3 linked regions of the Drosophila melanogaster genome follow. The protein of the gene in region 3 interacts with the protein of the main gene of each other region in a pairwise test. Each region holds a gene or a part of one and is shown on either strand. Other genes may lie near its edges.

The links. Proteins that work in one complex are often made in the same cells at the same time.
Region 1: the proteins of CG33333 (region 3) and CG13850 interact in a two-hybrid assay, tested with the Drosophila melanogaster proteins (one large-scale study listed by BioGRID).
Region 2: the proteins of CG33333 (region 3) and Tsp33B interact in a two-hybrid assay, tested with the Drosophila melanogaster proteins (one large-scale study listed by BioGRID).

The regions. Positions count from the first base shown.
Region 1 is NT_033777.3:22,406,633-22,414,689, reverse strand, and holds CG13850 (uncharacterized protein), read left to right. Parts: upstream 1-3,774; 5' UTR 3,775-3,833; intron 3,834-3,880; exon of another isoform or gene 3,881-3,939; intron 3,940-4,008; 5' UTR 4,009-4,026; coding exon 4,027-4,204; intron 4,205-4,267; coding exon 4,268-4,978; intron 4,979-5,041; coding exon 5,042-5,291; intron 5,292-5,352; coding exon 5,353-5,627; intron 5,628-5,680; coding exon 5,681-5,750; intron 5,751-5,809; coding exon 5,810-6,020; 3' UTR 6,021-6,124; downstream 6,125-8,057. Other genes in the region: lqfR (liquid facets-Related), read right to left, coding at 1-147, 413-1,170, 1,233-1,329, 1,411-1,780, 1,840-2,041, 3,053-3,105; CG13855 (uncharacterized protein), read right to left, coding at 6,170-6,434, 6,491-6,675, 6,741-6,853, 6,918-7,561, 7,627-7,844, 7,906-8,057.
Region 2 is NT_033779.5:11,789,092-11,796,292, forward strand, and holds Tsp33B (tetraspanin 33B), read right to left. Parts: upstream 3,275-7,201; 5' UTR 3,213-3,274; coding exon 2,460-3,212; intron 2,285-2,459; coding exon 2,177-2,284; intron 2,122-2,176; coding exon 2,002-2,121; 3' UTR 1,934-2,001; downstream 1-1,933. Other genes in the region: CG14931 (uncharacterized protein), read left to right, coding at 1-240; CG14932 (uncharacterized protein), read left to right, coding at 913-914, 968-1,024, 1,085-1,123, 1,181-1,219, 1,279-1,335, 1,392-1,845; CG14937 (uncharacterized protein), read right to left, coding at 3,540-4,855, 4,935-4,956.
Region 3 is NT_033777.3:17,413,325-17,419,686, reverse strand, and holds CG33333 (uncharacterized protein), read right to left. Parts: upstream 2,221-6,362; 5' UTR 2,204-2,220; coding exon 1,757-2,203; 3' UTR 1,645-1,756; downstream 1-1,644. Other genes in the region: CG42834 (uncharacterized protein), read right to left, coding at 534-902; CG5866 (uncharacterized protein), read right to left, coding at 3,213-3,274, 3,332-3,941; CG42822 (uncharacterized protein), read right to left, coding at 5,288-5,298, 5,361-5,513, 5,581-5,755; CG42821 (uncharacterized protein), read right to left, coding at 6,146-6,156, 6,214-6,362.

The sequences.
Region 1 (8,057 bases), 5.0 Mb from region 3:
GGGCAACGGCTGAAGCGCTCTGGACCTGCATTAAATCGCGCAGCTGCTTCTGTGCCTTGGAAAAAGCTAGACGCATTGCCTCAGATGGTGGCTGTGGGGAAGCCGACGACATCGAATCATTACTGGATGCCAACTGCTCTTCAACAGCTACGAGAGAGAACGAGAAGAGAACGAGTGCATCCGATTGGAAAATGTTGCCGTTTATATGTGGGAGGATGAGATAGTGTATCTTTGTGTGGGCTGTGGAGCTCGAGGTAGAGATAACGGCTCTAGTCAAGCTCGGAAGGCGCACCTTCATGCAGCGATACCTAAATATATCATGAAGTGACTAAGGCCAATGCAATTACTCTAATCTTAAAACTATTTCAAATTTAATAATATGTTAAGCTACAAGAATCAAACTACAACTCACCCATGGGCATGCTTTGGTGAATGGACAGATCGCCCAGGCCTGCCAGGAGATCTGTAGCCGTTGTGGCTGCTGCCGTCGAGGTGGGAGCTGAATTAAACAGGTCAAACGAATCGTTCGCCGGCGTGGCAGTCTTCAGCAAATTACCGTCCAGCGCAGATGTCGACGTTGTCGAGCCTTGGAACGCCGCAAAGTCGGCGAACTCATCGTTCGCAGCCGGAACCAGGCCCGTTGATGGTGGCTCGCTGATCGTCGATCCCGCCGAGGGCTGCCCGAAAGCAGAGGCGAAGTCGCCGAATTCCTGCTGGCTAGCATCGCTGGCACGCGGATTGAAGTCATCATCGTCATCCACAATCACGGCAGCACTGTTCAGCGTCTTCTCCTGCCCCGGCGGTGGCGAGCAGGTCTTGAACAGATCGTCCAGCAGATCGTTGTTATTGCTTTGCGTATTATTGTTTGCCTTGGAAGTAGACGGCGATGGCGAAGCGCCGCCCATCAAGTCCACGCTGGTGGGAGTGTCACGGTGAGTTGGTGAGTGAATGCCAGCAGCACCGCCAGGAGCTGGCTTTCCAAAGTTTGCTGCCGCACCCAGATCGATCTTCTTCTGGGACAGCGCTGGCTTGGCAGAAGCCGTTGAAGTGGGCTGCTTGGAGACAGGGGAACTGACGGTCTTCGAACGAATGTTCATGTTGAGGCTGGAAGGTTTGGCCTCGCTGGCTACTTCGGCAGGACTCGCACGGTCATTGTATCGATAGTTACGTCTGTGAGGAGAAAAGAGTACATTAGGATATAGAGCAGGTTAATCGGAAAAGTGAAAACTTGCCTTGGACTGGGTGAGTCGCTATCGGATCCCTCTCGCTCTCCATCGTAGTGAGTATCATCATCCTCATACCGATCCTTGTCGGCGCTTTTGTCGGAGTCTGAAGAAAAATCATCAATATTAATATTACATATAGAGAATTTGAACAAAAATCTTAAAAAAATAAAAATTTCTTACTTACACCAATTGTCTCCACGACTAGAGCGATAGTCGCCATCATTGTAGCCACCGCTGCCACCGCCGCCTCCTCCAGATCCACCGCTATAGCCGCTGTAGCCACCGCTTCGCATGCCCATGGCGTCGCTGCTCATGCCGATGTACTTGTCCTTGTTCTTCTTCGCCTTTTTGCGCTCCTCGCGCAAACGATCATCATCCTGAATAAAGTCTATAAGCTCTCGTACCTTATGCCTAACATTAATACCCTGATCCTTGCCGCCCTCGTCGGTGAATGTATAGTTCTCCAGCGAGCGCAGATCGTAGATGTGCTCCCGAGAGGAGGTTACCACCCGTTCAGAGCCGTTTCGCACCAAATAGTTTAGCAGAAGGAGGCTCTGTAAGTAAATATATACTCGTTAGCTCTATATTTATTAGTTTAAACTGAAAACGTTACCTTGTACGTGCGTCGCCAGTTGGTTTTATTGTCCTGCAGCATGCGCTTCCACAGCATGGACATCACCTCCGGGAATGTTTCGTATGAGAAGGTGGAATAGGCCAATTCCTGCATGAGGGGTCCTGTAGGCCCCCAAGGATCATCGTTGGTGGCCTCCCGCACCTTGCCCTCCGTTTCCGTGTAATTCATCACGACATTGGTGCTGCAAGTGGGAACGAAGTCATTGTTTTATTTTAAAGTAACTATTAACTATTCACGATGTTAGTCGTAGAACTTTTGTACATATGTAAATACAAATCTTAATCCGAGCTTGTTTCCTTAAATAATTGATATATACTTAAGTAAAGAAAAAAGGCATATTGACTGGGACATTCCGTAAACTCAATTGAATAGATAATCAAATAGATAGAGGGCCAGTTAATCAGAACTGGTATTTTTAAGTAAACGTTGTGTGACGATATGGATATACAATGCAAAGATGCAGATAAATAAGTAATACGCATGGCTTGGCTGCGACGTTGATAGACGTTCGAAACGTGATGGAAGTGGGCCAATTGTCGCAAATGGGCCATCTAGGTGTTCCTTATCAGTTCGAGATAAGCCCTAGGAAAGGTGTACCCGCGCACTTAACCTAATGAGTTCGGTGTTGGCTATCGAGCCACCATTATTTATTCGAACTATAGGCTCGCTTTTAGAAATAACTACCCCATAAAAGGCGCAGGTGAAAGGGGACACCCATAATTAATAATTCGATGGGGGAAAGAGAAACACCCATTTCACTGGAAAGCCTGGAAGTGGAGCTGTTAACACAGGTGAAAAAATTGTTATATTTGGGCAGTCGAAAGCAAACAAATTGTTTCTTGATAAAGCCCCACACACACAGGCGCATATACACATGGATATCAATATCGGAATGTGGCTGTGTTGGTAAAGCTCTCTTGAAATGGCGAACAACCTTGAAAGCAGTTAAAAACGTGAACCTAATCCAGCACCCCGATGCAGTTGATCCATAAGTAAGATATCTTTATGAATTATTAGGGATTTATGCATGACATAGGGCTTTTGAAATCCTTGAGGAGTTGGGGGCGTGGCGGGAAATCAGAAAACTTGGGGCGTGGGAGTCTTAACATTCACTTCGGCGTTAAGGGAATGTTATACACACATCCCATTACATATACGTATGGATATATCCTATATATTCCTGATCACTTACACCTTGTCCGCCAATTCGCGCACTTTCCACATGCTGATGAATTTATCCACCATTTTGAGACTATTGAATGCTACGGAATTTTTCACACAATCTCGTCGAAAAGTGGCTGGAAAATCCAACTACAACAAGACGTCGAACTCGTTTTCGCTTGGCGTGCCGTTTTCTGACTGTTTTGCAGCTGACGATTTGCACTTTTGCATGGAAACGGCGCACCTGTCTCGCACCCGCGCTTTCCGCAAACAAAAATGTAAAAATTTAAACGAAAATTGTAAAACAAAATCACAGCAGCTAATATTTGGTGAGCTGTCGTGTCCAGTGTTGCAAACAGTGTTTCCAACTCTCACTGTTCAAGTGTAGCTAAATCCGATAAATAGCTGTAGCCGTTATTAATGAAAATTAGCTTTTTAAATTTGTGCTCCAAATAGTTCAATAAAATATTAGTTTTCTTATTAATAAAGCACAAAGAGAAATCGGCATAGTTATAAAATGGGAACCATTTACCAATAACCGAAATAGTTCAATAAAACATTAGTTTTCTTATTAATAAAGCACAAAGAGAAATCGGCATAGTAATAAAATTGGAAGCATTTACCAAATAACCGAAAGCACATGCAATGACACCTAAGTTCCGGAATAAAAAACGCCAGATCTAGCTAGAAAATGCTGAGTTGGCAGCACAGCTCGCAGTGTTACAAAAGCTTTGCATGGAGCCGACGGGTCTTACCCTACACTACCATCAGCTGAACGCTGCTGTCATCTGTGGATTCTCAACGTTCAATAGGAAAGTTTACTAAAATAAATGAAAATACTAAATGAAACGTGAAGGATATCAGGGGAAATAAGACGGTTCAAGTCATGAATATAAGCCTATATCATTGGCATGCTTTGTAAAGCCCCTTCCTGGCCGCTAAAAATGTAAACAAAAAGGTTATGTAAACTTCTGTGGTCTCTTGCAGCGTGTGGATTGACTGAAAATGTTGGGACTACAACGTTTTGCCGGCAGTTTTGTCACCCAGTTGTACCGCCGTGCAGCCTTCAGCAGCAGTGTCCGGGCAGCGGGCATTCCCGTGGCGCCCACTGGAGCACAATCGGATGCAGTGGAGCCGGAAGCACGCGCGCCGGCTGTGGAGGAGGCGGCCAAAAAGCCCAGGGGTAGGTAGATTCTAAAATTGTTGTCCTCCTTACTAATTGGTATTCACTCCATCCTTATTGCAGGCCACATGGTAGCCGCTGCTTTCGAATCCCTTAGAAACGACGATCCCAAAGATGAGAGCAAAAGCCAAGCCTCCAGCAAGATCGATGAGCGTATCATCAACGCAAAGACAGTCAATGGACTGCTAACTATCACGGAGAACAACAATGGCTTCTCGAGGAAGCATGCCCTCAGAATTGTCTCCATACTGGCCGAGTGGAGCACCTTGAATCGAGTAAAGATCTCGGAATTCGAGAACGACACAAGGTTCCTACGTATTTGCCGGATGTTGGGCCGGACGGTTCCCAAAAATAATAATGCTAACAACAAGGACCTTGGTGACAATGGGACGGCCAAGCGGATTTCCGGCTTCCGAACAGATGACCTAAACACGGTGCTTGGCGTAGCTGGTGACGATGAGGCCGCTAAGCTGATAGCTAGCATCAGTCTGCCCCAGATGGTCAAGGTGATGAGCACCCTGGCCCAGCGGAAGAGGCGTAGTACTCCTCTCTTGCGCTCCCTGGCCTTTAATATCAGCAGCGCGTCGGAATCGCTGGATTTAAAGCAAGCGGGGGATGTGCTGTTCGCTATGTCCACGTTGAATTTCCAGGATTCTGTTCTAGGCGCTAAAGTGTGTGCGGATGTGCAATCGGCGCTGCCTAAGAATGTGGAGAAGTCTGCCGTTGTGGGATCCATTATCACCAGCCTGGGCATTTTACGATACCGGGATTTGGGTTAGCTCGGATATAAACACATCAGAAAAAGTTGTGATTAATGTAATTTATTTTTTTCGGTAGATATCTTGGAATCACTTACGCAGTGGCTTTTAAAGAATAGTGAAATCTGTCGCCCCCAAGATCTCAGTGCCTATTTCCTAACATCGGCCCTGCTAAACTTCAAAAGCGCTCAATTGGAGGAAGTGAGCAAAAAGCTAGTAAAGTCTATTGTCCGCGAGGATTTTACCAAGCAATCCGAGTGGTTGAGCTTTGTGTGGTCGCTAACAATGTTGGGTCTAGTAGAACACGGCCACTTGGCTTCTGTTTTGAGGTTTGTTCTTTGAAACGCTTGAAAATCTGGAATTAAAACTTAAATTTGTAATTACTTTCAGTGCGGACTTCCTAGAGACGTTGAAAAAGGACAAAGCTGGTGTCACAGCTACCTCCAAAATGAGGCTACTCAACTTGAATAGCTATGCCCAGTTAATAGCCACAGATTACAAGGGTCCACTATTGCCCACTGACAGTCCTGTCTATCAGGTGCCCATGGCTCATCCTAAAGCAAAGCAAGTGCTTGTAAATGGAATGCTAGATGCCCTGAAAAGTCTGCTGCCGGCCAGCAATCATTTACAAACTGCTGTAGACACTAAAATGGGCTTCCTTATAGGTAAGATATTCCTTGTTAATGTGTACCATATTCCTGATTAACTGTCGTTTCAGATGCACTGTGCCATTTTGATGCTAACAAAAACCCCCTGCCTTTGGACAAGGAAAATCCGAATGCAATAAGGCAAGTTATTACACGTTTTATAAATTAACTTGATTATAATGAATGAAACTTGATTTCAGGGTGGCGCTGATGGTCATCGATTTCCATGACATTTGCCACGGAACGCATCGCAGTGGCAGCGGCGTTACGAATCTGACATTTGATCTGCTAGAGAAGAGTGGTTACCACGTTATTCCCGTGCCCTATAATGAGTTCAGCACCAGTGACAAACTACTGAAACGCGTTCAGTATTTGGAGTCAAAGTTCAAGGCGATTGCAAGTAGCAAATAATTGCAGTTATAGTTTATTTAATTTTTCTTGTAATGATTGATCAATATTTGAATTGTTAAAATTTTGTAAATGTTAAATTAGGCGCTGAATTACAAGCTAAACCCAAATTTCGAAAGGTGAGTTACTGGGAGTCATTTTAACCACATAGTTTAGACGGCATCCAGTTTACTGGAACGTTGCTTGTTCATGCCCACTTTCCACCATTGGCCCGTTTCCTGGAACTCGGTGGCCACAGCAGCTAAGGTGTGGAATAGGCTGCGAGCCAGCATGTGAAGATTACCGATGTGCAGAACGAACTTGGGATCATACACCTTCTCAATGTCATCGATCTTGTAGTGATCTCGCGTCTCCCGTTCCGTCAGGCAAATACAGTTCCACGGTGCCCAGTCATCGCTCTTGTTCCAACGCGGTAATCTGAAATAGATATATTTGACGTTTGATTTTTAAACACTTCATTGTGAAGGGGTTACCTTAGTTCACTGAGATTCTCTGTCTTGCTTAGAGCCGAATGTCCATGCCATATTTTGTCTATGATGTGGCGAACATCATCTGGCTGCATTACAAATGCAAAGGATGTGGTGCACTTGCGTTTCCGCTCATCTCGATGGATGCACCGTAGAATGGACTGGTACACGGTGTTCTCAGTAGCAGTTAGCTATGTGTATGTATGAAAATATTTTCGATTATAATATTTAAAATGTGGAATAAGGAATAACCCACCTTTAGATAGTAACAGTGCTTGCAGGTGTCCACATGGCTCTGACGTGTCCGAATGGCAAACTCGGCATAGGTCTTGACCTTTTTGCATACAATGCACATGCGCGATGGAATCCCTAAAAATCACAATTCCCAAAGATTAATACAATAAATAGATATATACGTATGTTCAACACTTACTTTGTTTGGGCTCGCCCTTTTGGAACTTTATGAGATCGAAAAAGAGCATTGTCTGGCGTTTGCGCAAGATTTCCACGTCAAAGGACTTGGCATAGAGCAAAAGATTCTTTTCGCGATCAAAGAGATCAAAGAGTTCGGGAAAATGTGGGAAGCAAGTCTCCTCGGTGAGCACTGCCATGACTTGTCGGATGAAGTCTAAGCGGTCCTCCTTGCTGCGCGGCTTTCGCAGATCTTTGTAGATCTCGGTGAGGAAGCGAACTCGCTGTGTGCTCAACAGATCCATGTGGATTTTGGAGTCCTTGTAGCCAACCCACTCGATCGGTTTGCCCATCTCCTTTAGCAGCTGATCTTTGCGAAAATCCTCCATGGCCTTGTAGACGAGATTACGCTGCCGCTCCACGCCATTAAGCAGCTGAATCTCCTTGTCCAGCAGGATGTTCACCTCGGCAATGCGAGCAGGCCCCTCATAGTTGGCGGTAATACGCTTTAGCTCCGCCTTTTTCCAACGAGCCACCTCAGCATATAGCAGATCGAAGTCATCCTTGTTGCGTGGGAATTGCTTGATCACCCGGTGTCGCTCCATGCGCTGTTCCACGCACTTCTCATACCGCTCATCCTCGTGCTCGCGATTCTGCACCAGGCGACTGGTAGGGGTTTATAAGATAAGATATTTAAGTTTCATAATTTAAATTGAATATAGTCCACCTACCGATACTCTTGCGCCCGCAGGTGAATATATTTCCACAAAATCCAGCGCCTCCAGTTTCGCTGGATGAGCAAAATCTTTTCGAGCTTCCGCTCTGCTCGCTCCTTCTGGGCAAAAGTCTGGTACTTGCCAGGAACTATGGTAAAGTCATTGGCGGCGGAAACATATAGTATATTAATACCATCCAGATGGCATTGCACCGATTGCTCATGGGCTGTGTTCTGAAAAGAATTTTGGTATAATTGATCGCAATATACATAAATCGAAGTTGCTTGAACATACCAGAGTCTTTTCCTTTTGCTCCCATGTCTGGGTATCCCTGGTCTTGTACTTCCTGTACTTCATCTTGTCAAAGTACGGTCCAGTTTGGGTAAATGCGTCCAAGTACTCTTTGCCCGTTTTTTGATCCCTATAGCCGCAGAGGAATGGCTTGA
Region 2 (7,201 bases), on a different chromosome or scaffold from region 3:
ACGCCGGCTATCAGCATTGGCCAGGCACCGGAGGATGAGCCGCACAATGCCGACGCCACACCCGTTTCCCCGGGCAACGAATGCGACTCCGGCGTCAGCTGGGAGGAGATATCTTTGTCCAGCGCCAGCGATAGCACCACTCTTCCTTCCATCGGCGAAATGCCCGATCGACATTTAATCAGCACCAGCAGCGTCGCCGTCTCGGATTTCTCAGATGCCAATGAAATCAGCCAGGAATAGGCTATTTCCGCCCATGTCTTGTGGTTTATGTTTCCCAATCGAATGCAGTAGAGATTTTACAATGTTTATAGCCCACATATGTCTAAGAAAGAGTACTCGAATAAGTTAACTATATGTCACATTAAAGGATTGAATTTATTGCATAATTGTGGCTTGTGTTTTTGGTCGAGCTGTATTTATTCCAATTCCAGTTTCCTTAACTATTTAGTCATAAGCATGTCAAGTTCAATAAAAACGAACACCCAATATATAAAAACATTTCCAAAGGTGGAATTAAATTGTGATGGCTTGACTTTACATAAATATGTATAATTACATTTGTATTTGGAAGTTTGTAAATTAAGCCTGTTGTACAACACTGGTACGTCTTTTTATAGGAATTTAAACTTTTTATGTTTAACTGCCATTTTAAGGCTAAACTTAACCAAAATTTTAAGGCTCAAATTTACCAAAACCTTTAGTATAAATTTCTATTTTTACTAAATGTTAAGAACACGTGACTTGAGCTTTAACTGAATTTTATATATTAATTACATATGCTCCAGTAAGTTTTCAACAGTATTTTGATCAACACTGATGTTCTTATTAAACATTCCTTGGAGTGGACACACTGGCCGCACGGCTTTTCACATTGTCATTTTCCAGGAGCTAGGCGTTGAAAATTTGTTAAAAATGTAATTAAAATTAAAGCAGTTCATTAAATATATTGATGGATTATTCATTGCAGGTCCCAATCAAAGGTTCCTCATATTGTGGGCGATGATGATGAATATCAAGAAGCTACGTAAGACTTCATTAATTTAGCTTCAGAAAAACACTGACAATATATGTATTTCCTTTCTAGTGCTCCCGAAAGTGACGAGATTACCTGCGAGTCTTCTGTGTAAGTCTTTTTAATATAATGTTTTGATAGATTATTTTTAAGTTGCCTTATAATCAGGGAAAGTGATCAAGATGATGACTGTTCCAACGAAGATGAGTGAGTAAATTTAATGTTATAAAACAAAATCATTTTTCTTCATTTTGTGAACCTTTTAGTATGGATTTGGATGGGGCAGACTGGTCCCCATATGTCACTTATGAGGCGGGTACACCGTAAGTTATAGTTTCGTAATGTAGAACGTGGAATAACGGGTTCGGATTCTCTACAGAAGACGTCCCCACAGTGCTTTGGAGATTACCGAAATTACCGAGTTTCCGAAAATTCCAAAGAAAAACCCCACCTCACCCGAACTGGTGATACAGAAGCCAGAGACTCCGGATCAAAACGACTCGGGATCTCAGGAGCGTCTCACCTTCTCTCGCGCCAATAATGCGCTATCAGAGTCCATTGGAGCTCGCGTTTCCCAACGTAGCAGGGGCAACTTGGAACCATTCATCCGTAGAATGGCACGTAGCCCTACGCCCGAGGCCTCAGAGGAAAACGGCTCGGTATCACAAGGTCAGCTGCTGGCCAAGCCCGTGGATGTCACCGAGTTCTTTCACCGCATTGCTGTGGGTCTCGTCGAGCAGCGCGTCTGCTTGAAGCCTTTCTTGGCATTGCGCAAACATATTGCTCAACTGGTGGGTCAGACTTTGAAGAAATCCAAGAGGATGCGCCGTTAATCCATTTAACATCCAATGTTACAACATCCATGTAATAAGTATCCTATAATATCCAATAAATAATATATTGCGTTCACCGATTGGATATGAAGTTAACTCAAATTCGTAAATTTAATTAAATTAATATAAAATATAAAAGTAAAATTAAGCACAATATTAGTATCCACACGGTTCGTCGTCCATTTCGGTGCAATTGCAGTAGTTAATATCGGGAACGTTGTCGGATACCAGATCATCCTCGGCAATTGTTACACAGCGCACGTTACACGGATATTTCTGGGGAATGGACTGATTTAGGTGCTATCGATGGATAGTAAATGGATAAACCCACCACCACGACCAAGGGATGTCCATCATCGTCCGTGAGTCCCACATTATCGCAGCCATCGCCCTCGTTCTGCCGGTGAACTATGAACTTGGTCATACAACAAAGCACGATCTAAAAAGATGATTGACTTAGGGAGGTCTTATCTTAAAATACAATTTTGTTGCATATTCAAATTTTTTGATTTCAATATGACTTACGCTAATGAATTTGACAGAATTTAATGAATATGGCTCCAATATTCACCATTGTTCTGACTTTAAAACGTTGCCCATTACCAATTACTTACCAGAAACTTAAGGGCCAGGACCCATAACGCCATCAGGATGTAAAAGCAGTTCCACACCGCACTAACGAACGCAGGCAAGCATCCGTTCGCATTGATTGAGTCCACGGTGAGAGCGGGAAAAGGCTGCCGGCTATTGCCACCGATGGACTGCCCCTCACTGGGCAGGAAATTGTTAAAGCAGCTGTCGCAGGAGCGCTTGCAGCAGGCGAAGGGTGCCAGGACCATCGACGTGCAGTTATTCTCCCGCCGTGGCATCCACTCCGCGTTCATCCAGTCCTTGTAGCCATGCACCCCGCAGCACTCCTTGTGCCACTGCAGTCCGTCCCACAGGAGTTTCCACTCGGGACACGAGTAGTACATGTCGATGCCGCGGGTCAGCGAGGTGTCCGCCGCATTCTCGAGGACATCGACACCCCGGTAAAGATTCCAAACGCACCCGAAACCGGAGGCAATGATTACGCAGGAGTAGAAGGCCCACACGGATAGCAAGAGGCGAATGTTCGGCGTGCAGCGACGCCGCCAAATTCGCCGCCACATGGCAATGCTGCAGAGAAAGGTCACCACCACCTGGGCGCCAAACACGTAGATCCCAAACAGATAGCCGTAGACCAGGCGGCACTCAATATCCGATAGATAGCCGGTGAGCACGGTGTGGTAGTAGGCGGTCACCACCAGGATCAGCAGTCCGATCACGGCCTCGGTTATTAACAGCAGGTGGAGGTAGACGGAGGCTCGGCGGAAGGGCTGGCGCATTTGGTCATCCTCGTGGGCATCGATCCAAAGTTTGGCTTGTCGACGAGGTTTTAGCTCTGAACTCGAATTTCATTTGGATTGACGCTGATTGCAAGGACTTGGGTGTTTGAATTTTAAAGTGTACTACAACTTGAATTTAATTTTTTTTATCCCTAAGGGCAGTAAAAACAATGATGCATTGAAAAATCGCTTTACAAATATGTATATTTACATCTTTTTATTTGGTAAGCAGTTGATAAATGTATACACTTAACTATATTTCAGTTTAAAACCTTTTCATTTTGGAGCTTGATCAGTTGGAGCATATCCCACTCATGGGGCAGCGGTTTACCGCACAAAGCTAAACTTGAGTACGCCAGATGTGTAGTCCGTATTGGGTCCAATCTGTTTTGCATCCACCTTTATCAGCCTTATGTTATCAACGCAGCGCGAACTTTGAACTATTTCCGGATTGATATCGCTATGCCGGATCCACAGCTCTAGAGGGCGAATGCGCCAGCTTTGCTTGGCCAAAATGGCAATACACCTCCAGACGAAGGATTCTCCATGGCAGAAGGTTCGAGTGATGTCGAGGACTCTCAGCTGTCGACAATTGATCACGAATTCCAGCAGGCCCAAAGGACTCTCCAACTGATAGCCACACAAATGGAGTTCGGTTAGCTCACCCAGTTGACTGGCTAGCTGCCGCAGTATCTGATCCCCCAGGCACTGCACCTGGACGCCCTCCTCCTTCTCCTCCTCTTCCTCTGGCTGGCTGTGCAGCTCCAGTCGCGTCAAGTGACTAAGATTTCCCAGCTCCCTGAAGAACCGGCCATAGTCGTGCAAAACTCCACTGAAACTAAAGGCCTCAATTTGTCGGCCATCGCCGGGAGGACTTGTGGGACTAACTATCCTCGATAGGACATCAAAGACAAAGTTCCTGGAATAGATCGACAGCTTTCGCAGGTTTGGCAATGTCAGTAGTTGCTGCGTAATATCCGACTCCATACACACGTGGTAATCCGCAATCTTGATATGCTCCAGTGTGGGACACAGCTGCAGATCCGCCAGATCACAGCAGTTCACCTCGTCACAGTCCTCCATTATGTCAAATTTGCGTAGTCGCAGCTGCCGGAAGATGTCCCTAAAGTGTTGCGATTCCAGAAAATGGCAATCATGCAGGCGGAGATCGGTAAGCTCATCCAGGTCGCATAGGTATTTTCCGGTAATTTGGCAGCCTCTAAGTTTGAGGCTTTTTAGATTGGGAAATACCCTCTGCAGCATTCGCACATCCTCATCCACGAAGCGAACGCGTCTCCGTCTATACACATTGCCCAGCCACTCGAAAGAGTGAATCCTCTCCAGCGTGTGGTTACTGAGCAGTCGCAGTCTTCGGACATCCAACTGCTTGCAACTCAGGTGCTGCATGTGCGGAGCCAGGGCCAAGATGAAAGCCACAAACTGTCGGGAATTGGCTCCCGAGCGTCCGAACATCTCGTCCTGCAGGACAACGTTGCGAACACGGGTCTCCCAGAGCATGTGCACTACGCCCGCCAAGCGCCTGTTCAACCTGCTAATCTGGAACTGCTGGTACGTGTCCAGCTGGCGGATGATCAAAGCCAGGACATCGTCATTCAGCTGGAGCAGCGTTACTGCAGTGGGTTCTAAAAAGTTGAAGGACGATCGTCTTAATAGGCTCAGTTGTATTGTTTTTTTTTTTTTCGTTTTTAGCCAATTCCTTACCTGTATCGCTTGCGGACGTCATCTGCGGTCTGTTCTCGATCGTGGTACTTGGAATACTAATGAATTCACGCAGTTGCCACGGTCAGTAGTCCGATGCTACCTAGTGCGAAGGTCATTTAGGGGTGGGTTTCCAGGCAGATCGGGCGGAATTCGCGCTACCTAAACGACTTATCCTTTTGGAGATGGGAAAACGAAGCGATAGTTTTCGGGGTATCCCAGAGATACGAAATCATAATAATATCCTTAACCAAAAAATATAATTCTACTCAGGGTTACTCAGTTTCTTGTAAAATCCGGTTTTATGCTTATGCTGCGCGTTTTTGCTGCTCATTTATTTGTTTTGTTTAGTGCTTACTACTTCATAAATTTTAATTACATTTTACTCGTAACTTGTACAATATATACTATATATATATATATTTCATTTGTTGTCCAATTTCTGTCGTATAGGCATATATATTTTAGGTATATATAGTGTTGTATTGTATCTGATTTATAGTACATTATTGTTTCTATTTAGTATTGTTACTGTTTGTTGCTTTTAATGTTTACGTTAATTGGGGCATTCCAAGCGTTTTCTTCAGCTTCTGTTAATTTTTCTCCTAGGAAACATTTTTGCCGCTGTCCCAGCGTTTAATCATTAAGGTTAATGGGTATGTGTCTGTCGATCAGTGAGTGTGGGTTGTGGAGAAAGTTACCTCTATTCTCACGGCTTGCACTACGCAACTTACAAGTAAATTATTTCGTTTGTTCATTAATATTGCAACACAAGTGAATTGTCTCCATAAACTTGCCTTTCACGTACTACACATACATATCCGTTATATATTAGTCAATAATCGTACAATAATATATATCTCTATATGCATTCTATATACTGCGCTCTATACACATCACCAAAAATCCAAAAACACCCAAAAACTAACACGGATACTCAACTACATAATTATAGACGTGTGATAGTGTGTGTTTGCGACTTCGAAAACAATTATTTTCAGTGTGAAAGCAAAATACATGCATATCAATGATAATTTCATTTTCAATTTTCAATTGTTCCCTGCATTCTAAGTGTATTCAAAATGTGCACTTTGCTGCGATGATCGTGAATCAATAAAATTAGGTTAAATAAAACCAAGTTCTGTCTTTAAATGGTTAAACAAACAGTTTTACATTTTCCGTTTATTCGTGTACAGTTACAGTTTGTTAAATTAAATTAAAATTGTATTTTAAGCATTTAATTCTCGATAATTAAATGTATAAAATGTTGCATTTAAAAGGAAGCATAATGTGTGGGTCGTGTGTCTGTCAGTTTGTCTGTGTATTGTTTTCTTACTAAATTATTAAACTTTGACTCGTGTTTAATATACTTTTTTTTAGATTTCTCTTCCTTTTTTGTAAAATTTAAAGCAGATATGTTGTTGCTTGTGGCGCTTGGGGATTTCTCGTTAATTGTTTCACTTTCTTTTATTTCGTTACGGCTTAAACTTGTTCTTAATGTTTGTTGTTTTCAACACAAGCACAGTTAAGGGTTATAATTAATTTTAGAGTTGTGCCTAGTCGTATATATGTATATGTATGGGTTGTTGTTGTTGTTGCTTGTTAACTTTAATAGTGGGGTAATAACTTGTTGTTATAGGTTTAGTATTCCATATATCATAATCGTAATTGTAATTGTAATCATAATGATTGGGCGACGCGCCCAACTAAAAACTACTCGCACTCCCACGCGGGAACTCCTATCTCCATTCCTTCGATCCGTGCTTTCAATCATTACTTTTAGTAGTTCAACTAACATTAAATATAATAACTTGTTTGTTTAATCCCTTTTCATTATCTCGTTAGTTGGGTCTGCCGTTATGCTGCTTCTGTTTCCACTGTCATATAATTGTATATATATCTCATAATCATCACAGCCCCACTTTCAGGGCTCGATATATTGTAAACTGGGTTAAGGACTACACTTGGCCAATATATGTGAAAGTTTTCGCGCGTTAGCTCGTTATTAATGTTCCTCCTTGGAAAATGCAAAAATAATACAGTTGTGATAATAATTTTCGATAGATTTCCAAGGGTCTTGTTGCGTGTTATTTACAAACTATAAGTATATATTATAATTGTATGCCTATGCATATCTGCATATGTTTATGTATGATGAGGATGCTTTCTATGAATGTCGCTCCATATGGATATAATCATAACTTAGTCAAAACACAATAAAAATACAAGATGGTGCGCTTCTGCTGGTTACGGCAACAAAAACCCCTTAA
Region 3 (6,362 bases):
AAATTCATCTTGACAGATTGTTCACAATTGTTGTCTACCAATTAGCTCTGATAGGTATTTTTGTATTTGACGAATGAAAGATCTGCGGTTATGGGAAATTAAAAGATTTTCCTCGAAATTTCTTTAATATTACACATTTTTTGACCATTTAAATGTTTATCCATAGAATACATGTCTAAATTGTTAAATCAAATTGGTTGGCAAAAAAATTTCTTATGACATAAGAGATCGATGTTAATTAATATGAAAATAAAATAATTTTCAGCGGTTAAGAATTAGATAATGATTATCAAAGACGAAATTATTCGTATGTATGTATTTGCACTTAGTTTTTTACCAAAGTAATTGCATTGAAGATATTCTCAATTTCTTATAAAATATTCAAATATTTTGTTTATCAAATTTTTATTTCCAGAGTATGGCTATTAGAAATTATGTTATAAAAGAGCTGTGATAAGATCATTTAAATGATAATAGGGCTTAGAACATTTCGTCAGATCGGGATGGGATGGTGTATAATTTTTAAGGTGTTTCTAATATGGTTTCTGGTTGCGGTTGCGGTGGACATATCCTGGGGTAGCTCCACCTCCGATGGGACGAGCATAAGCGCTTGCAGAAGAACGACGAGGAGCACCACCATGAGGACGAGATCCGGACACTGGAACTTCGCCCACTCGACGAGATCCTCCGATAGATCCAGAGATGGATCTCTGACCATAGTTAGGACGCTGAGCTTGCGAAACAACTGAGCGGCTCTGGGTAACACCAACGGCAGGAGCTCCAGATGAAACCACTCCAGAGTGATGGACCCGCACAAGATTCTCCTGCGCAACTGGCGAAATATTTGATCCTTGCGCCAGGACGATTGTGGCAATGAAGACAAAAATAATACGAAGAGCCATTTTGATATTCAGCTTTGTGAGTATTGCTTGTAAGACAACTGATGGTTTTAGCTGGAAATGGAAAACTTATATACATGCGAGACAACCCCAAAATTTAGAACAGCTAAGCATGTAATTAAATATTTAAAAACAATTAATATCTGACTCACCAATCTCAAACATCTAAGTAGTGCTGTCTTGGATGTCAAATAAATGATTTTGAACCTAAAAGCTTTGCTTTAATATATGTATGTATTTAATTGGAATATATTAGTTTCAAAAATACTTTTTTTAATGGTCGATATTTATGTATGAAATGCATTTGCTGAATTAATTAATTAGGTAGAATTTTTAATTCTTAAATTATATCTTTTTGGTAAATATTTTCTTACAAAAAACTAAGTTCTGCCCAAAATACCTTCAACAAAATTCAAAAATATATAAAAGATTAAATGAAATGTATCTTGACAGAAGTCGAAATAACAGAAGAGGGCAAGTAGTAGTAGTAAGGGTATACTGTGAAGTATATTTTAAATCAATTATTTGCTAAGATCTGTTAAATACAACGCCGATATAAAGACAATGCTATATATATTTGGAGATAACATCTTGTATTGAGTTGTTTAAGAATATACTCTAATATGTGAACAGTTCAGCTGTACAATTTTCTTAACTTACTTATAGGTTTATACTCAAGTGTTTTTTATTTACAAAATTGCACTGTGAAATATGATTTCTAGAATAAAACAAAACTATAAAATTTGTTTTCCATTTTTTTTTTTATTTATGTTAATATTATTTGTAGAAGTAAATATTAATTGGTTCCAAAATGTGTGTCAACCGGAAGAGATTCGAGCAGAGTATTTGCACGACGCTTAGCCATGATGGCGACCATGGTACACATTTCCTTGACTAGCTCCTACAACGGCTGGGACAGGGACTCCCTGAGGCTGGCGAATAGGAGCAACCACCAAAGCAGGAACCACCACGGCTGCAGGACGAGCGTAGGACACAGCCGGACGAGGTGCAGCCACAGAAGGACGAGGTACAGCCACAGCAGGACGAGCGTAGGACTCAGCAGGACGAGGTGCAGCCAGAGCAGGACGAGGTGCAGCCCAATAGGGTCGTGCACCAGCCAACCCTTGGTCTTGACCGTAAGCAGAACCAACGGACTGGGACACAGACTGTTGTCCTTGCGAAATGACTGCCGCTGGAGCACCAGAATGGATTGGCACCTCCGATTGCTGCTCAATGGGCAAAAGATTTGATCCTTGGGCCAGGACGAATATGGCGCTGAAGATTACAATGAAGCCGACTGCCATTTTGATTTGTTTATTTTTGTTAAGCAACTGATGCCTTGTGCTGCTTACTTTTGACTTTTATACCAGAGAAAAGTCAGAAAGTATGAATTTACAAGAGCTGTAATTCATCATTTTGAAGTAATTATAGTATGTGATGTCATGCAATCTGATCCAAATTCTAAGCTGACCCAGTTTATTGCACTTTGAACTCATCTCATCTTGATTATGCAAGCCAAATACTGGTTTTCCCCTTATTAATTAAAAATAAATTTATTGTAATATAATGTAATTATTTAAAGTAGACTAACCAAATTTTTAAAATGTATTATTATATTTGAAGTCCATTACTTGATAAATTCGAATATTTAATGTACCACAAAACAATACTAGATTAGTTTAAAACAGCAAATTTTCAATCATTTTGTAGTATATATTTTGTTGATCGTGCCAACATTTCCGTCCGTCCGTCCATTATGTATGCAGAATAGGATCTATATCTGAAGCCAGACTTCAACGACTGATGGGTATCTAATAGTCGAGAAAATCGACTAAGGCGTTTATTCTTAAATGGCAACGAGTAATGGGTATCTAATAGTCGAGAAAATCTACTAAGGCATTTAATATTGATTGTTTTGTAATGCATTTTAATTTGTTATCTATTTAATAAGTTACAGTTGTTTCGATTGGCATAAAATGGCCCTGATATTAATATGAGGAGGACCTGAGGGGAGGCTAGCCTTTTTTGTTTTATATATATGGTAAATGATACCATATCTTTAAATACCTTCTATCTTTAAAGATTTAAAAGATCTAGGCTTCCGAATATAGGTTTATGCATAAGATTATCATACATAGGACAACCAGATTTATGTAAATAGTACACACAACACCGACAACAACAAAATTATTTCATTTGACAATATTATATTTCAGAAAAAGAAAACAATACAACTTAGGATATTATATTAGATATTTATATCTATATTTATATAAATATTTATATTTATATTTAGTTATCTTGAGCTTAGAATTAGTGGGCCCTGTAAGCGCTGGGCAGACGATGGCATTCGTGATGACCGATGTGTCTCAAAACTGCAATTAAACAATAATATCATTTGTGAAAATGTTTTAGATATGTTTATAACCAACCTGGCTTAAGTTCATTGCGACGCAGGCAGTTCAAAACGGCCAGTGCGCAGGAGTTCTCCACCCTGTAGCAGAGATGACCATCGGTGGCATAAGCTGGACTATGAACCCTGGGGCAATGGATGGTGGCGTGGCAGTTGCGATGATGATGAACACCATGAGTTCCGTGATATGGTGCCTCCAGATGGTTGTGGTGGATTGGATGCTGATGGTGGGATCCATGAACTTCTTGAAATGGTGCCTCGAGTTGTTGGTTAGGATGTGAACCATGATAGTGGTGCTGAGGGGATCCGTGGATAGGATCATGCGATTCAGACAACTGATGATGATGGTGGGGCTCAGATAGGTGATGGTGCCCTTCTAGGTGATAATGGGGTCCGTGCTCGTGAGGATGCGATTGAAATTGATACAGATGTACTCGTTGATGTTGATGTTCTTTTCCTGCAGACAATGACTCGTTAGGAACGATTTGATGCACTGAAGCATCTTCGACAGGCAGATATCCTTTCTGGGGAACCTTCGCTTCTAAGATAATAATATCCGATCTGCGCAGAAAGGATCCTTGGGCAAGGACCATCCAAGCACTCAGCAAGAAAACGAAACGCAGAGCCATATTTTCTTCAACTGATGCTGATTCACAGGAACCTTTTCGGTTTTATACCCAGAGCACAATAGAAACCGAGTCCAATAATTTAAACTTAATAAGAAACCCATTTTAATTAGAAATTAATTAAAAGATAAGCACCGCAATAGCATCACTAGTGGGCAGCTAATTAAATAATATAAATACTCTCAAGCAGGGCATAAATCACAACCTTGTGGTATATGCAGGCTAGGAACGTTCAACTCGGGAGTTTCTTTACCTAGAGCTCTGAATTCTAAACCCTCAGGTCAACCCGAGTTGACTGAACCCATTCGCATGCTTACATCTTTACAAATGGTCTTAAATATAATGGTCTTTTAATATTTTTATTTTGATTTTGCCCTATAATTCTCAACTGATTCTAGTAAAGACTGTGTGACTGGACGTGTAGTTTAGAGTCACGGAATATTAAAAGTAAACTATTTTACAATGTGTGTATTTAACAGGTGTGATTACTTGGAAACGACTAATGTTAGGTATACAAGTGTTTTAACTGTTATGTACCTAAAACTTATTTTAAAATGTGTGACCCAAAATATAAATAATCTCATAAACTGGAATTGTGACCATATTTCTTCAGCTTTTTATTCACGTTTCATATTAAAATAAAATGTTAAGTTCCTGTTAAGAAAGGGATCACTGAAGAAGATATATATCTATTTAGATTTATTTGTTTACAAAGTGCTACTAAATCTATCTCGCGGACTTCACAAATAATATGTAAGTAATTAAGCTACTGTATTATTCTGTTGTAATTATATTAGTTAATTGAAGTTAGGTAATTGTAACTCTAAAACCCCAAAGCAAACGTCACGTGGTCAACAGAAGTGGATAATTTTAGTGAATTATATTGGACATGCATGGAGTTACGCTTTTCTATCTTTAATTAGTTTAAATAATATTTAATATAATATAATAAGATACGAAATATGTGCTATTCCATTAATAGGATGAATAATATTTATACTGAGCCATATATTATATAAATGTACATTTTTATATAACACAAACAAAATGAAATTTATACGGATTACATATTTATAATATTATGTTAAAGCGAATTTTAAAAATTATTATTATTAAACAATAGTTTTTTACCATATCTTTTAAACTGGGTGTGACTAAAACACTTTTATATTATTCAGCGCACTCGCTTGATTTCTACGTGACTTGTTGGCTGTTTGTTACGCAAACACGACTTCGATATTTGGTTTCATGCTTGAGGCCCCAAAGAGCCCTAATAGATAAAAACAACTAATAGATTTAGGTGTAAAAGTTCATTTACTTTCGTTCACGCTTAAAACATTCTGCGTGGCTTACAAAAAAGCTGTAAAATTGAATAAAGGGAAATAAGTCAACTGTAATATCTAAACATGTAGTTTAACTCACTCTGGCCAGTACGACAGGTGTGAGCCCGTTTTTCACATTCGTTACCAAAGTTTAGGACTTCGCCCTTGTAGATTCCAGTTGTGGGCTGGTAGATGGCTGTACAAATGTCGGCGCATTGCTTCTGACACTCCCTCTTTGTCGTTATGGTCAAGGCTTTTATATAATCAACATAATATTCGTTTGATTAATTCTTATTAAGTTGTAATAAGAAACTGCTCACCTGGCTTTCGATGGCAGTTCTCCTTGTCGAAATAACACTTATTCCGGAAAACATTGCAACCTCCTCCAAGAGCCCAAACAACTTCCTCCGTATCCGGACATTCGCCTGAACAGTTACCCCTAACTTGGCTCAAAGCCACACACAGCAAAAGGCAAATATATAGAGAGAAATTCATGTTTAAAGGCCTCGAAGTTTTGGAATGAACTGAACAGATCGTTTGCCACCTCCACTTATATATACATATGTTTTTGTTAGCTTGGAGGCACGTCTTCAGAAATCTTTATCGGTTTTAATTTATTCAAATAACAGAAACCGGCAGATGTGTGGGGTTTTTTTTGTTTGTTAATATCATACATAAATAACACTTCATAAAAACGCTTGTGGTGTCCCATTGTTTGCTTCTTTATCAATAAATAAAAAAAATTTACAATCGTACTTTAAAAACATTTAATTTTCATCAGATTTTTCTTACCCAAATTATACATAAAGAAAAAAGGGCAAGAACTAGAAAATCTCTATATTTGCATTCTTTGTGTAGGACTGTCAGTTATAAAAGTATTTAGCCCTATACGAAAGCTGTAAAAACACATAGAATTAGCCTTGGAACACATTTTTTTTAAGTGAATCACTTACTTTCGCCCGTTCGACAAGTGTGAATGATCTTCTCGCACTCATTGCCAAAATTCCGCACCTGACCCTTATAAATCCCACCTGTGGGTTGATAAACTGCAGGACAAGCATCGGCGCACAGCTTTTGGCACTCCTCCTTTGTTGTGATGGTC